Linked DNA regions of Xenopus tropicalis. The protein of the gene in region 2 binds, or shares a complex with, the protein of the main gene of each other region. Links are inferred from orthologs where the notes say so. Each region holds a gene or a part of one and is shown on either strand. Other genes may lie near its edges.

The links.
Region 1: qrsl1 (region 2) and gatc share a complex: the UniProt entries of both Homo sapiens proteins name them as parts of the heterotrimeric GatCAB amidotransferase (AdT) complex. The link is inferred for Xenopus tropicalis from reciprocal best matches to the Homo sapiens genes QRSL1 and GATC.

The regions. Positions count from the first base shown.
Region 1 is NC_030677.2:151,738,359-151,741,394, reverse strand, and holds gatc (glutamyl-tRNA(Gln) amidotransferase subunit C, mitochondrial), read right to left. Parts: upstream 2,026-3,036; 5' UTR 1,995-2,025; coding exon 1,923-1,994; intron 1,742-1,922; coding exon 1,694-1,741; intron 1,503-1,693; coding exon 1,333-1,502; intron 1,051-1,332; coding exon 947-1,050; intron 863-946; coding exon 801-862; 3' UTR 680-800; downstream 1-679. Other genes in the region: srsf9 (serine/arginine-rich splicing factor 9), read left to right, coding at 1-62, 145-282; triap1 (TP53-regulated inhibitor of apoptosis 1), read left to right, coding at 2,248-2,394, 2,472-2,561. UniProt on the Homo sapiens protein: Allows the formation of correctly charged Gln-tRNA(Gln) through the transamidation of misacylated Glu-tRNA(Gln) in the mitochondria. The reaction takes place in the presence of glutamine and ATP through an activated gamma-phospho-Glu-tRNA(Gln).
Region 2 is NC_030681.2:79,129,505-79,133,434, reverse strand, and holds the start of qrsl1 (glutamyl-tRNA(Gln) amidotransferase subunit A, mitochondrial), read left to right. Parts: upstream 1-1,123; 5' UTR 1,124-1,172; coding exon 1,173-1,196; intron 1,197-3,109; coding exon 3,110-3,269; intron 3,270-3,930. Other genes in the region: rtn4ip1 (reticulon-4-interacting protein 1, mitochondrial), read right to left, coding at 424-571. UniProt on the Homo sapiens protein: Allows the formation of correctly charged Gln-tRNA(Gln) through the transamidation of misacylated Glu-tRNA(Gln) in the mitochondria. The reaction takes place in the presence of glutamine and ATP through an activated gamma-phospho-Glu-tRNA(Gln).

The DNA.
Region 1 (3,036 bases), on a different chromosome or scaffold from region 2:
GCAAAGAAGATATGGAGTATGCTCTGCGGAAGCTAGATGATACAAAATTCCGCTCCCACGAGGTAGCATTATTTTTATATTTACATAGGGTACATTCTGGGCTGTTACTTTCTTTTCCAACTTTTTTTTTTTTCTCCCCCAAAGGGTGAAACTTCTTATATCCGTGTGTGCCCAGAGAGAAATACCAGCTACTCCCGTTCCAGATCCCGTTCAAGAGGGCGTGATTCCCCTTATCAAAGCCGCCGCTCGCCTCGTTATGCTTCTCCCTTTCGACCGTACTAAGTTGCCACCATAGGGACACTTTCTATGAATTGAATTCTGAATCCCATCTACTCAGAACAACATTCCACGACTGATGGATTTCATCAACTTTTATACCATTTTTTTTTTTTTTTTTAAAGAAATGTTTTCTTGACATAAGGTGTGTGGTGTTTTTTTCTTTTAAGTTCTATCTTCAAGAAGGCAAAAGATAGTATTGTGCCTCCTAGGAAGAAGGGATGGCCTGATCTGAAATTGTGTTAAATGCGCTGTGCATAATTGCTATACTGGAACTAACAAGTAGAATGCTAATGGAACCAATGCAACCTTAAGGGAAAGTACATGTGTCCTACATATAGTTAAATGCCATCAGTATGTTAGAAAGGTATAGTTTGGAATAACTTTTTAATCCTCTTCACAATCAAGTTTGTACGTATGTTCCTTTTATTATGAAAGTGTTTCAGTTTAAATAAAAATAAGCATCTGTAGCTGTCCTAATAAACAGTAAGCTGTTATGCTGTTTCTATTCCGGTCCTTGATGTTCAGGAGCTGCTCTTGACTTCAGACAGACCTCTTTCATGCTGAGCTGGTAAAGGGATGTTACCTTTTATTAAGAGGAGAAAAGAGAATGAGGACATCTAATGGATCTATATTAATGTTTGTGGATATAAATATAAACCTTTAATACCTGGAGGTGCTACAAAATATTCCTCTACAACAGTTCTGGCATTTTCTAGGAGCAGTTCGGTACAATTTCCTGCAGCAACTGCATCATTTCTTATGTATAGGGTCCTGCAAAACACATTACAAACACTTGAAACTGCCTCTTCACAAAAAAGTATATATAAATCTAGCAGTAGTATCAAGCCTGTGCTGCTGCTCTATCATGGTAGCTAAATGATAACATATTAATTTATGCAGTATCTCTTAGTGATAAGTGTCAAGTAACTGGACTTGCTGAATAATCTTAAAACAGTTTACTACTAGGTAGTGAAATGTTCAAGATTACTTTGCAAGTCCAGTTGTTTTAGACTTATCATTGGGAGATATGGTTGAAGATATAGATTACATTACCTGTCTTCTAACACAGATGATAAAGGTTCCACTCCCTCTGTGTTGACATTGTGCAGCTGATCAGCAAACTGTATGGCCTTCTCAAGCCGCTGCACGCCTTCTACGTTTCCGAAATCCACTAATGCTAGCCGCTCAAGATGGTCAATTGTGTCTAGGCTAATCAGGGGTTTCTGAAAATTGGTAAAATGTATTATGTACGTGATATATAGTCTGTCTTTAGAGGTAGTTTTACATTTATATACTTTTCTTGATTAACATGACCTGGGAATAGAGCACACATGAACAGTAGGGGGCGCATAGAGAAACCGTAATACATAATTAAGTTATGCACTAAATTATAATCATGCATATGAGTGCGCACCTGGTTTCTGATCTCGGGTTGAAGGTCCCATGTTGGTTTAGGCGGTACCTATAAATTGAAAATAGCGACATCTTAATCCCCAACAGCGGTTTCTACTAGTTTGTAGTCCAGCAATAGCTGGAAGCCCGTGAGCTGGTATATCTACATAAGAATCCCGACTTCAGCGTCGTACAAGGATATTCGTTAGACTAAACCTTGACGCGCAGTGTCATTATAAGCTAAATGATACCTTACTCTGCGCCGACAACGAACGTCGGAAACCAGAAATCCAAGCGGTGCAGAGCGGCGCTCGGAACCACATTTTGCGCGGCTCTTTAATATGACGTCATATTAGAACCACCACCGTGCGTTTCTCCAGTAACCTTGATGAAGAGGTGATGGCGGCCATTTATAAAAAAAAAAAAAGGTTTCAGCCAATAGACGTGCTTGTGTTGTAAGATGACAGTCGCGACTCTGCCCTAGGACAAGATGGCTGCCGCGGCATCTCGCTCTCCGTAGAAAGATTTGCGAGGTGAAGAAATACCTGTGTTCGTCAGGAGTTTGTTGCGGGCAGCATGAACAGCGTGGGTGAGGAATGCACGGATATGAAGCGGGAGTATGACCAGTGCTTCAACCGCTGGTTTGCGGAGAAATTTTTAAAGGGAGAATGTAGTGGCGATCCGTGCACCGAGCTCTTCAGGCGGTATAGAGATTGTGTTCAGGTGGGTAATGCACTCTGTATAGTGATAATAACATGGGCATTTTATAGCAGCGCACTAATACCCTTTCCTTTATTCAGAAAGCCATTAAGGACAAGGACATCCCGGTGGACGGAGTGGACTTTATGGGGCCTAGTAAATCAAAAACAGAATCCGACGGCTCCTCCTGACCCAACGCGGGCCCCGGAAGAGAGTGGGCCCATAACGTCATATCCCCTGCACGCCTAGAAATGAAAAATACTTTTATAATAAATAACAAAGTAACAATCAGTTTGTACGGCGAGTATTTGCTGTCTTCATACATATATATTTGTGTGTTTAGGGGGTTAAGGTTAAGCACATGGTGTCTTCAGGGGATTAATTAGTAAAAATTGATCTTCACATTTCCGGCCAGGGGGAAGCTTGGTGTGTAAAGGGGTTTTATTGCTAAATCTCGAGGTGCAGCGCTGAACTAGAAATACAGACTGCAGCAAAACAGTGTACAGTGGGGTGTCCAACCAGAAGATATCCCTTATGTGCCCCCCCTTAGCAAAACAAATCAACCTCGGATTCTACTCTTTCACTGTATTTTTAACTCATTTTTGCTATTCCTGTTGCTGTTTTCAGCCTCATTGCAATTTTATTCTATATCATATGGTTGGCCTT
Region 2 (3,930 bases):
TTGGGCTGGTACAGAGACCAAAACATAATGAAAAACATTTCTAGCCTAGTCTTTAGTTAGACTGTATTTCTCTTTTAATAAGTGAGGTGAATACAAGTCATTCGACGAAGATGGAGCAAATTTGCCTATAAAAAGTGGTCAGAATCCACATAAACTGTGTAAATATATATGTATCCCACAAATGTCTGGAGTTTTTTGTTTGCTTGACTAGCTCTTGTCACAATAAAAATATATTTTCCAGTTTTTATGTGTGTGCTAATTATACTGTGTAAATCTATGGTAAATATACCAATTAAAAGAATGTTTCATTCAAGGATATTACACACCAACATGTTGTAGTGTCTAAGGTTGGTAACTGTTTATGCAAGGCACTGTACAAAGTAGAAAATGGAAAACGTTTTCTATAAGTAACAAGCAACTTACTTCTCATATTAACATCGATTGGATTTAAACTTGTAGCGTGTACTTTAATGATGACTTCATTGGGGTAATTGATGACAGGAAATACCATGTTGCTATTGAAACGCATCACGTCATTGCTCCCATACTTGTCTATAACCCATGCAGGCATGACTAGATTTCTCTTTAGAGAAGTGCTGAATTCCTGAACACACGAGCATCTTTGTTTCGCAGTTTTAAAGATTCCAGGGTCACCGAATCTGTGGCTCTTAATTCCACTAATTAGGTGCCATCTAACAATGTTAATCATTTTCGGCAGAGGTACAGCAGTAAAGCTAGTAAATGCTACGTGCACTTAATACTGCAGTAGAAAACGTATTCAAAAGATTTTCATAATTATGATTGTAGAAATCTATGCAGGCATAATGCGTCAACAACTAATAATATCCAAATATATAGTCATTATTCTATTGCTAATGATGCCCGATGTCGTGATCGCTACTCTTTTTTGCAGTTGTTATTCAATTAACCTCTCTTTGCTGCTACAAGTCTTCTTTTCCCCGTGTCCTCTATTAGCTTCCGCGTTCCAAGCCTCGTCCCTCTCGTCAAATGGAAACAGTGATAATTCAGCGGCTAGCCAATACCTGCCCTCGGCTTTAGTTCTATACGTGTTTGCCAATCAACACATGGCAGCTCCCGGTAGTTTCAAGACTCTTTGGTTGCCTTTCATGTCTGCTGTACACTTTACAAACCGGTGACAGTTAAAGGTTAAAATGCTGGGAATGAGTTTACGGGAGGTGAGTGAGCTTAGAGTACACATCGTAATTAGAGAGCGGAAAAGGAACTGTACGATATGGTAAAATACACCTGGACTGTACAGGAGAGTTTCAATTTAAATGCTAGACACAACTCTTTTCTTAAAGAAAAGTGATGAATTGAAATATATCGCTATGGCCACATTCTGTATTTAAACCTATTAACTTAGATGTGTCACAAAGAAGCAGTCCTTTTTATTTTAATAGTGTTTGTTTACAGAGCCAATCCTGCACAGTATCTGACCTCCTGGACCAAGGGCCCTTCATCTGCCAATGCACTGTGCCTGTATGTGGAATGACAGATGAAGCTGTCAGAGCTGTAAGCAAGTGGTGCCATGGAAGGGCCTATGCACAGTGGGCATTCAGGGACATCTGAAGCGACACAATGACGCCACTAGGCCATGCTAGGGTTGCAGGGCTTAAAGGAGAAGGAAAGGTAAAAACTAAGTAAGCTTTATCAGAAAGGTGTATGTAAATACAGCCATAAGCACTCACAGAAACACTGTACTGACTTCTCTGTGAAAAGATTTCTTGTGTCGGTAATTCCTGTGCCAGACACGCAGCTTTCTGCTCTCTCCTCTCTCCTGCTCCCCCCTCCCTCAAGAATGCTAAGAACTCACCCCCCCTTAGGAATGTGGATCTGAGCCAATCAGGAGGAAGCTGACTCATAGTCTTACTAACTGAGCATGTTCACTTGGGTGTCTGTGCAGGAGTGAGGCATTATGGGAACTTTCTTTACACAGCTCAGCATTTTTTCTTCCTGTTTGGCTTCAGATCTTCTGAACAGGTGAAATTTGGGGAGACTTAAGGGCACTATTGAGACAACTGAAGGTATGCCTGCAGCTTGAGATTAATTCTTTATTAGCCTTTCCTTCTCCTTTAATATTGGCCATATATTGATTCCATATCCTGCATGGTTAATTAGTAATTCATTTAGATGCATGTGGCAGACTGAGCTGATTCATCATGTGTAGCCTTGCAGCATGCACAATGAACTGCTAACTAGCCATGAGGAGAATAAAAGGCTAATAAAGAGTTTATCTTAAACTGCAGGCATACCTTCAGGTCTCTCAATAGTGCCCTTAAGTCTCCCCATATTTCTCCTGTTCATGATCAGAAGCCTCATAGGAAAGAAAAACACTGAGCTCTGTAAAGAAAATTCCCATAATGACACACTCCTGCGCCAAGACCCCTGTACATGCTCAGTTTGTAAGACGATGAGTCAGCTTCCTGCTGATTGGCTCAGATCACGCATTCCTAAGGAGGGGGAGGGAGTTATTAGCATTCTTGAGGGAGGGGGGAGCAGGAGAGAGCTGCGCAGACTCTTTCACAGGAATTACAGAGACAAGAAATCTTGTTTCTTTTGATAGAGGACTAAGTGTAGCGTTTCTGTGAGTGCTTATGGCTGTATTTACATAGACCTTTCTGATAAAGCTAACTTAGTTTTTACCTTTCCTTTTCCTTTAAGAGGGGATTTTACAGAGGAGCAGGACAGAAAAGAGAGGGCTTCACAGGGCTCAAAAATTCAAATTTTATAAAATGATTTTTTTTCTATGTATTTGATCGTGGCTGCATTAACCTATATTGGTGGCAATTCAATGCTATCAAATTTAATTAATGTATAAATGTTATTTAGTAATGGTGATCCAGTGTACAAAACCAGAGGTCTTACATATTCTGGATAATAGATCATGTGCCTGTATTACGCATTTTTCAGTTGGGCCTGAATAAGTGCTAAATAAAGTATGTTCGCACATATTTCTTTATTTGTTTGGCATCAAAATCTGTGCACGCACAGATTTTATATATGTTTTAAACATCCATAGACCAAAAGTGTCCTCGAAAGGTGTTAGCTTTTCAAACAGGAAATAATATACAAAATAATTTTTTTCTAGGCAGCTGCTGCGCTGAGGCTTGGGCAAATAAAACCTACTGAGTTGTGCCAGAAGTGTCTTTCTTTTATCAAAGAAACATCATTCCTTAATGCTTACATAACTGTAACTGAAGACTTTGCCTTAAAGCAGGCAGCAGAAGCAGATGAGAGATTCATCCAAGGTAATCTTTATTTGTTATTACCAAAATTGGCAGTATCAGACTAAGGGGCACATTTACTAATCCACGAACGCTCTGAGCGTTCGTTCAGCGTATTTTCGGCGACTTTTCCGTACCTGCGCGACTTTTTCTTATTTTATTTTTTCGTACTTTGCAACAAAATTTGTGCGACAAAATTGTATTGTCGCGCCAAGTACGCAAGTTTCAGATTCATTCAAGCTTCGGTATCGTGACCCCTTGGGCCAGGTTGGAGTTGCACAGTGCCATTGATTCCTATGGGAGGCTTCCAAAATCATGCACAGAAGGATCAAAGTCGGAAAAGTTTTCCTGCATTTTACGATCGTTCGGATATGAAAATTTTGTGACTTTCAGATCGCCAATGCGATATTATCGTGACTAATACGATTTTTTCGTAAGCATATTCGTGATATTTGCGATCTTAAGAAATTATCATATCCGATCCGAATTTATCCCATTCGGGATTCGAACTTACGTTTTCATGAATGTGCCCCTAAATGTTTATGTTTTTCGGGGGAGAAACCTTTGCTGAAGGTGCTTTAGAAAGTTTGGGAGCTATTACTATACATTACCTTCATATATGTCCGTCATTTTTCATTTATCTAGAACTGCTTATTATTTTGAGAACCTACACTTTTACTTAGAC